Linked DNA regions of Sus scrofa. The protein of the gene in region 1 binds, or shares a complex with, the protein of each later gene. Links are inferred from orthologs where the notes say so. Each region holds a gene or a part of one and is shown on either strand. Other genes may lie near its edges. The genes, in order: GNAI2 and P2RY12.

Region 1 (3,811 bases):
GGTCGTGATCATCAATTCTGGTGTTAGTCTTGCTGTTCACGGTCGTTTGTGTGTTAGCCCCTCTATCCTCCGTGGTTGTCTTGACCAACCTTGGGGGATAGGGGGGCCAGAGTTCCACTTCCCCACTGACCCCGCCACCCACCCTGCTGAGCTGGGCAGAGTGACAGACCTGCCACAGTGATCTGGAGGTTTGGGACACATGTAGATGGGGCATGTGGTACAGGTGTGCCCGGCAAAGAGAACTGCGTGGGCCAAGGCCTGGAGTTGGCAAGAGGCAGTACCTGGCAAGCGCAGGTGTGACTGGCAGTGATGGGGCAGAGCAGAGGGAACAGGCTGGGCAAAGGCTGGGAGGGAAAGCTGGGCCCAGCTGAGGTGTCCTCTACCTGGAACTTAGGACAGGGAGCAGCAAAGGGAAGAGCTGAGGCCCTGCCCCCACCTCCTCCACCCCCCTAACCAGGAGTTTGGTGGCCTTCTGGGTCTCACACTCCCTGCACAGACTCCCTGGGGAATGCAGGTTTCTGGGCTGCACCCCTCAGGATCTGGCTGTGTGTCTGGGATAAGGCCTGTGAGTCTCTGCCTTTTTTTTTTTTTTTTTTTTTTTATACCCACCTGAGGCATCATCCCATAGCATCTGTGCATATTTTGTTAAGGGCTGGGTAGGCCAGCCATCATTATCCTTCATGTCTTCCTGCCCTTCTGAATCCTGGCTACTGATCTTGGGCCAAGACTACTTTTATGAGCCTCAGTGTCCTCATCTATAAAATAGGGGAATCCATACCTATTTGTGGGGCCGCTGTGACAGTCACAAGAGAGCCCCTGGAGTTCCCATTGTGGCTGAGCAGGTTAAGAACCTGACTAGTATCCATGAGGATGCGGGTTTGATCCCTGACCTCGCTCAGTGAGTTAGGGATCTGGTGTTGCCATGAGCAGTGGTATAGATAGGTAGCAGTGGTGTAGTGGCTCGGACCCCATATTGCTGTGACTGTGGCGTAGCTCAGCAGTTGTAGCTCCGATTTGGCCCCTAGCCTGGGAACTTACATATGCTGTGGCTGTGGCCCTAAAAAAGAAAAGGAAAAAAGAGAAAGAGTGCCAACAAATCCCTCAGCACTGGTCAAAGAGAAATACAGGGTGGGCTCCCCAGGCCGGGGAAGTGTCTTGAGTTAGTATAGGGGTGTGTGTGTGTGTGTGTGTGTGTGTGTGTGTGTGTGTGTGTGTCTAACGCTGCATGTCTCCCAGGTCCTGGTCTCTCCGCCTGGAATAGACCTGGGCCCCGCGAGCAGGGGCCTGGGCCTTGGGCCATGTCTGGGAGGCAGGGGTGTGACACCATGCCCAGATCCAGGCCCCTTGGCAGCTGCCCCAGGCCCCAGGGAGAAGAGGCCTGCTGCCATGCTGGAGCGCACAAGGCTCCTTTTTGCCAGCTGCGCCAGGGCTCCAGGTTGGGGAGCCCTGGCCACGGTGTGGCAAGCCTCCCTGTGTGAGAATGACAGGGTGACTCCCGAGGGGCTGGCCTCAAGTCTCTGGCCAAAGCCCCTGAATTTAACCAGGGCAGTGGGATCCATGGTAGGCAGTGGAGCTCGTGGGAAGCCAAGGCCTGCAGTGAGTCCACCATGGGGTCCAGGTGGCCTAGGTTGCCTTCACCCCTGTGGCTCTGCCAGCCGTACCCCTGTAGCTCTGCTACCCACCAGGCCCAACTGCCCCCATCTCACTGTGCACTTGATGGGGAGGGTGAGTTCTGCCTCTGGGGCCGCATGGCTGGGCCGCTAGTTGCTTGCCTGTGTAGCCCCACTGGCCTGCGCTGACCGCCTATGCCCTTTGTTCCAGGTGCTGGGGAGTCAGGGAAGAGCACCATTGTCAAGCAGATGAAGTAAGTGCTGTGTGCAGGAGGCAGCCTCCAAACCTTGATTTCCCCTCTTCTTCCTCTGGGCCTGTCCTGCCCCCGAGTGTAGGCCCAGCCAGTGTGAGCCAGGCCCAGAACCTTTCCAGAGGCAGAATCCATCCTCAGGTCCCAGTGGTTCAGAGGCAGTTTCCTCCTCTCTGAAGTAGGTTCCCGCAGGCCCCAGCAGCCCCAGGCGACCACGTGAGGTCCCTGTGCACCCTAACCCCTGACCCCTGGCTGCCAGGATCATCCACGAGGATGGCTACTCAGAGGAGGAATGCCGGCAGTACCGGGCAGTCGTCTACAGCAACACCATCCAGTCCATCATGGCCATTGTCAAAGCCATGGGCAATCTGCAGATTGACTTTGCCGACCCCTCCCGTGCGGTATGTGGACTCCCCCGTCCTGCCTGCCCCCATAAGGCTTCAGGGCAAGTCTTGGCCTGGGGAAGATGAGAACACCCCAGCCTGGGCCCCGTTCCGGAGGCCTCCCTGCCTCTGACAGATGGGGTGGGGGTGCACTCCTGCACTGGCTGACCCCTCACCGCTGTGCCCAGGACGACGCCAGGCAGCTGTTTGCGCTGTCATGCACGGCTGAGGAGCAGGGCGTGCTCCCCGAGGACCTGTCCGGCGTCATCCGGAGGCTCTGGGCTGACCACGGTGTGCAGGCCTGCTTTGGCCGCTCGCGGGAGTACCAGCTCAACGACTCTGCCGCCTAGTGAGTGCTCCGAGGGGCTGGGCTGCGGGCACCTAGACCATAGCCTGGACCTGAGGGCCTGGGCGCCCTCAGACAGATATGGCCAGTCTCTTCATGAAGCTGCTGTCAGCCAAGGCCTTGGTGGTGTGGGGCTTGACCTGCTGCAGGATGCTGGTCACCCCACAGGGAATAGGGCAGATAGGCTGGCCCCTGTGGGGAGACATCCACAGGTTCTGGATAGTGTCACCCTGATGGGCTGCTGACCCCATACTCTCACATCCCCTCTCCTACCTCTGCATAGGTCAGTCTCTATATCTGAACACCTTTCCCACTCCACTACCCGTCGATCCTGAGCCCACATCACTCACAGAGACAGCCTTCCCCTGCTTGCAGTGAATGCACTTGGGAGTGTATGCCCCCCTCAGGAGCTGTGGGGTCACAGCCCTTCACCACGGGGGGCCTCCCAGAGGTCACAGACTCAGTGCCAGCAGAGCTTTTGGGTCCTGGAGGCGGGGAAGCATGGGTCCTATCAAAACCACTGCCATCACAGTGCCCAGGATACTCGAGGAGGTCAGGTCACCTTCTGGCCACTTCCCACTGTTCCACAGCCCCGTCCTTCCTTCTCCAGATGTTAAGTACCCATTGTGTGCCCAGCACTATTCTGGGTGTGGGGATTCAGCAGGGAGCCTGGGCTGTGCCCTCCTGGGCAGTTTTATGCCGTGACAAGATCACCTGGGGTGGGAGCAGATTGGAACATTCCAGGGAATGGGCACACTCCAGCCCCTCTTCACAGCCATCCTCCAAGGCAGTGGGTCCCTGGGGTGAGCCCACCTGTTGGGGACAAGGGAGAAACTGGTGTAGAACCCAATGGGCCTCTGGGCTGGAGGCTCTCAGTAGGGGCCAGGTCACAGCATATGCGTCATGGTCCCCCATAGCCCTTCCTGTTTTTCTGTTCTGTCCCTGCGTCTCTGAGTTCATTTCCCTCTGGCCTAGCTGCTGGTGGGAGTCAAGAGCGGGCTTAGGGAGTTCCTGTTCGTGGCTCAGCAGTTAACGAACCCAACTAGCATCCATGAGGATGCAGGTTCGATCCCTGGCCTCGCTCAGTGGGTTGGGGATCCTGTGTTACCATGAGCTGTGGTGTAGGCTTGGATCCCATGTTGCTGTGGCTCTGGTGTAGGCCGGCGGCTACAGTTCCGATTTGACCCCTAGCCTGGGAACATCCATACGCCACGGGTGCAG
Region 2 (4,272 bases), about 59 Mb from region 1:
CAGGCTAGGGGTCTAATTGAAGCTGTAGCTGCTGGCCTATACCACAGCCACAGCAACGCCAGATCTGAGCCGCATCTGCGACCTACACCACAGCTCTCGGCAACACCGGATTCTTAACCCACTGAGTGAGACCAGGGATCGAACCCGCAGCCTCATGATTCCTAGTCAGATTCATTTCTGCTGCACCATGATGGGAACTTCTATATTTATCTAAGACCAGTGAAATGATGTATTTTAAGAATAATCTTTATTTCTGTTAATGCTTAACTCAATGGCATGCTAAATATTTTCTAAAACTCAGTAACAGGATGTGTGATGAGATAAGATTTTTCTTAATATGGTATATATGATTAGATAACAAACAAAGAAATAACCAGATTTCCATCTGCTTGGAGGAAGGGGAGGAAAGCTAAAATTTTATTTTCCCCTTATTTGTTAATTTGTTAAATGAAAAAGTTGTCTTTGTCAATAAAAAGTTCAGTTTAACCTTAAAAAGAAGAAAAATAAAATTGAATAGGGAAAACAAGTTTTGGGTTTTTATTTTTTTCGTCTATTTTCTAACTTAGATTTTAAGTAATTGGAGAGAAGAACGATACCAAGATGACATAAAAGCACGGCAGATGATGCATGAGGCATTGCAGCTCCGCCTGAATTTGGTAAGATGAGAGATGTGTCTAGTGCTTTCCCTCTGTTACACTTAGCTAAATGTGAAAATAACTCCAGCTTTCCACTCCTACTATAGTCCCCGTTATAAGATGAGGCCGTATGCTCTCTTTACTTCTTCCTTGTCTCTCAATCCTTCTGTTTCCCTGGCTGCTATCCTTCCTGTCTGGTCTGGCTTCTAGACGGCAGTAGGTATTTTCGGCATCGCTTTGCCTTCTGCACAACCACCCCCCTTCCTGCCCCCGTGACTCTCTCTCTCTTTTCCATTTGTGCCAGGAGTCGGTCTCAGAGAACTACTAATTTGAGATGAGGGTTAGCTTTTACTATACTTACTTAAAAACATTAAACTGTCCTTAGGTCAAAATTTTATCAAACTTCTCATCAAATTGATCATAAAGACAAATCCCATAGGGAGGTTCTACAGAGACTTAAAATTCCTCACCCATTGCACATTCCTTTGAATTTTCTTTTTCTCACTGCACAAGCCTCTATAAAAGCTACTCTGGTTTGCCTGGTATTTGATATAAATTCCCACAGGTGAACGAGCAGTCCTGGGGGGCGAAGCCTCCCGCTCAGCATTATGTCCATGTTACAGGCTATTTCCAAATATTATTATGACAACTCTGATAAATAGGCTTAGATTCAATAGTTGACAACACAAGTCTGAAGATAACTGAATCACATGGTTTTGACCTGTTCAGATTTAAATACACTAAAATCACATCATGAAACTGGATGTCATGAAAGCTTAGGAATAAAGGAAATCTGATGAATATTAGTATGTAAATCATTTTGATGATGTGTCCACACTTGGGTACTCCTTCTCTATCTCTCTCTCTTTTTTTTTTTTTGAATGACCAGTTCCTATGCTAATGGAACCAAAAAGAGTGGCAAAAAGGATAGTCCAGAAACTAGAGGACCTTTTTAAAAAAAATTTAAACAAATTGAAATTTGGCTGCATAAAGTGATAGGGGTGGTATTTTCTTTATTACACTATGGAGATTGTTGTTGTTGTATTTTTTATGTGCTAGGTGGGAGGAATGTTTGACACAGTGCAGAGGAGCACCCAGTGGACAACAGACTGGGCCCTCCTCCTCCTTCAGATCATTACTTCTGGAACCGTCGACATGCACACTAACAAGTATGTTCTTATCACTTCATGTTGGCTTTGCTGCATGCATTTATGCGTGTGTGCCTGCGTGGTGGAAGCTCTGATGTACTGATTACAACTTCTTCCACATCTTATATCCTTAGGTACCACTAAAAAAATTCTGTGCCCAGGAGTTTCCGCTGTGGTGCAGTGGGTTAAGAACCCGACTACAGCAGCTCAGTTTGCTGCAGCAGTGTGGGTTCAATCCCTGGCCGGGCACAGTGGGTTAGAGGATCCAGCATGGCTGCATCTGTGGCTCGGGTTCAATCCCTGGCCTGGGAACTTCCATATGCTGCAGATGTGGCCATTAAAAAAAATTAATTCTGTGCTTTATATAAAAATGCTCAGTTAAGAGTATCTTGGTTTTGGTTTTAAGGTGAAAATATTTTCTTTCTCCTCTTAGTGAATTATTCACAACAGTTCTTGATATGCTGGGTGTTTTAATCAATGGAACACTGGCCTCTGACCTATCAAATGCATCCCCAGGGGGATCTGAAGAAAACAAACGTGCATACATGAACTTAGTAAAGAAACTGAAAGTAAGTTTGTGATCTGAGCTTCTGTTGTATGTGGTTTGTTATCTAGTGCATATTGTCTTTTTTATCACTCTTTAAATCAGGTGCTATTTATTGCATTCAACTTAATACAATGTAATTATTTTGCTATCTGCTTAACTTCAGCTTCCCAGTACCCAAAAGTTGTAAGTATATATATAGCTGAAGATTGAAGATTTTTCTTAAAAAAAATTTCATAAAACATACACAATTTTTTAAGGAACTTGAGAAATCCATTATCAAATCTATAAGCAAAATACTAACATTAGATTTAGGATAAATTTGTTCTTAGACTGGCAACATGCAGTTGAAAAATACACATTTGCATTGATATTTCTGGATTCGATTCATTTGACTAGGCACTTTTTTGACAATTTTTGAAATAACACAGTTTTTGAAATAAACTGTAAATAAACAATTCAGAAAAGAAATCAAGATATCTGATGACCTTACTAATAAAATAACCAATGGTTACCTTGTAGTCTGACCCTGGATTGGAGAACGTGTTCCATGCTGCAGCTCCTGCCTTCTGGTTGCAAATACTACTCTGGATTTTTGTCATTTCAGCACTGTGATGTTTGTTGTGTAATAAGAGGGTCTTTATACATGTTCTATTTTCTACTTAAATAGAAGAAGTGAAACACACTCACAAACTGTCAATGAGAGCTGCGCCATAGACCATGTTTAAGGTTAAAGAACATTCCAGCTATAAAAAAAGGAAATGCTTCACAGGGGAACTTCCTTATAACTTTTACCTTCATTATAATTTCTGTTCCACTTCTCTCTCTCTTTTTCTTTTTTTTAGAAAGAACTGGGAGACAAGCGGTCAGAAAGTATTGACAAAGTTCGACAGTTGCTGCCTTTGCCAAAACAGACATGTGATGTTATCACTTGTGAACCTATGGGTTCCTTGATTGACACGAAGGGAAACAAAATTGCTGGATTTGACTCTATAGATAAAAAACAGGCAAGAGTAAATGTTTGTTTCTCATATATATATATATATATATAAATACATGAACTTAAAAAAAGACAAAATACGTTTCCTTGTCTTCCTACAGGACATATAAAACATCTTAAGTTTATTATTTCTTGATTTTTTAAAACATATCCTTGTCATTTGAATGCAGTGGTCATTGACATTATTATACAAATAGGTCAGATCTTTGAAGATCTTCATTTAAAACTTTCCCTGAGTTTAAGTGAATTTCTAAAGCCCAACACGGGAAAACTAAGTACAAGCTTAGTATAAAAGAAATACGGAAGATCACGTTTGATTTTACTGCAGAACTGGAAATAGAATACATTTAGTGAATGAGAAAATTCTTATTCTTATGTCTTGTAAGCTGTTTTGAGTAAACAATTCTTTTTAAAGTGATAGCACCTTATTTTCTTATCAAACAATATTGAATGAACACTTGATTTATATATGATATTAAACAAGTTTCTCTAAAACACAAGGAAAATGGTCTGCTATTCTTTCAGGGAACATTGAGCAACCACAGGTGTCTGAAATCACAGAGATGTAAGACAGAGCTCCTACCCTTAAGGGGAAGTAGATAGACAGTTACACTCCAGTGAGGTTTGTGTGTCCTGGTATGGAGTGCTAGGGGACAACGGGAAGAGGCCATCACACTCAGATGAGGGGTAGGTCGTCAGAGCCAGATCCTCAGGAAGACCGACACTTGAATAATTTTGGAAGTTTAAGAATTAGCCAGGAGGTAGGGCAAAGTGTGATACAGGTACAGGGAAGTGTTTTGCAAAGGCATGAGAGACTGTGTCTCGTAGGCAAATGCAGTGCTGGAGTAATTGGAGCGCCCTGAGTGCTGATAACCATATAGTTGTGGAGAGAGGATAAAGCTAGAGTCAGGGGCAAGTTGAGTTTGCAGTGTCAGTGGGCTCTCC

What was found.
Region 2: the proteins of GNAI2 (region 1) and P2RY12 are in contact, whole or in part, in a cryo-EM structure (PDB 7XXI), measured with the Homo sapiens proteins. The link is inferred for Sus scrofa from reciprocal best matches to the Homo sapiens genes GNAI2 and P2RY12. Residues at the interface, in NP_002061.1 of Homo sapiens: Arg24, Glu28, Ala31, Arg32, Leu195, Glu319, Ile320, Tyr321, Phe335, Phe337, Asp338, Ala339, Thr341, Asp342, Ile344, Ile345, Lys346, Asn348, Leu349, Lys350, Asp351, Cys352, Gly353, Leu354, Phe355; in NP_073625.1 of Homo sapiens: Phe59, Asp121, Arg122, Lys125, Thr126, Pro129, Phe130, Thr132, Asn134, Pro135, Ile212, Leu216, Ser219, Tyr220, Arg222, Thr223, Arg224, Val234, Lys237, Ile241, Leu301, Cys302, Lys303.

Annotation. Positions count from the first base shown.
Region 1 is NC_010455.5:32,726,251-32,730,061, forward strand, and holds part of GNAI2 (guanine nucleotide-binding protein G(i) subunit alpha-2), read left to right. Parts: intron 1-1,821; coding exon 1,822-1,864; intron 1,865-2,120; coding exon 2,121-2,262; intron 2,263-2,432; coding exon 2,433-2,593; intron 2,594-3,811. UniProt on the Homo sapiens protein: Guanine nucleotide-binding proteins (G proteins) are involved as modulators or transducers in various transmembrane signaling systems.
Region 2 is NC_010455.5:91,569,104-91,573,375, forward strand, and holds the start of P2RY12 (P2Y purinoceptor 12), read right to left. Parts: upstream 3,093-4,272; 5' UTR 2,843-3,092; intron 2,353-2,842; coding exon of another isoform or gene 2,217-2,352; intron 1,805-2,216; coding exon of another isoform or gene 1,695-1,804; intron 657-1,694; coding exon of another isoform or gene 567-656; intron 1-566. Other genes in the region: MED12L (mediator of RNA polymerase II transcription subunit 12-like protein), read left to right, coding at 567-656, 1,695-1,804, 2,217-2,352, 3,173-3,334. UniProt on the Homo sapiens protein: Receptor for ADP and ATP coupled to G-proteins that inhibit the adenylyl cyclase second messenger system. Not activated by UDP and UTP. Required for normal platelet aggregation and blood coagulation.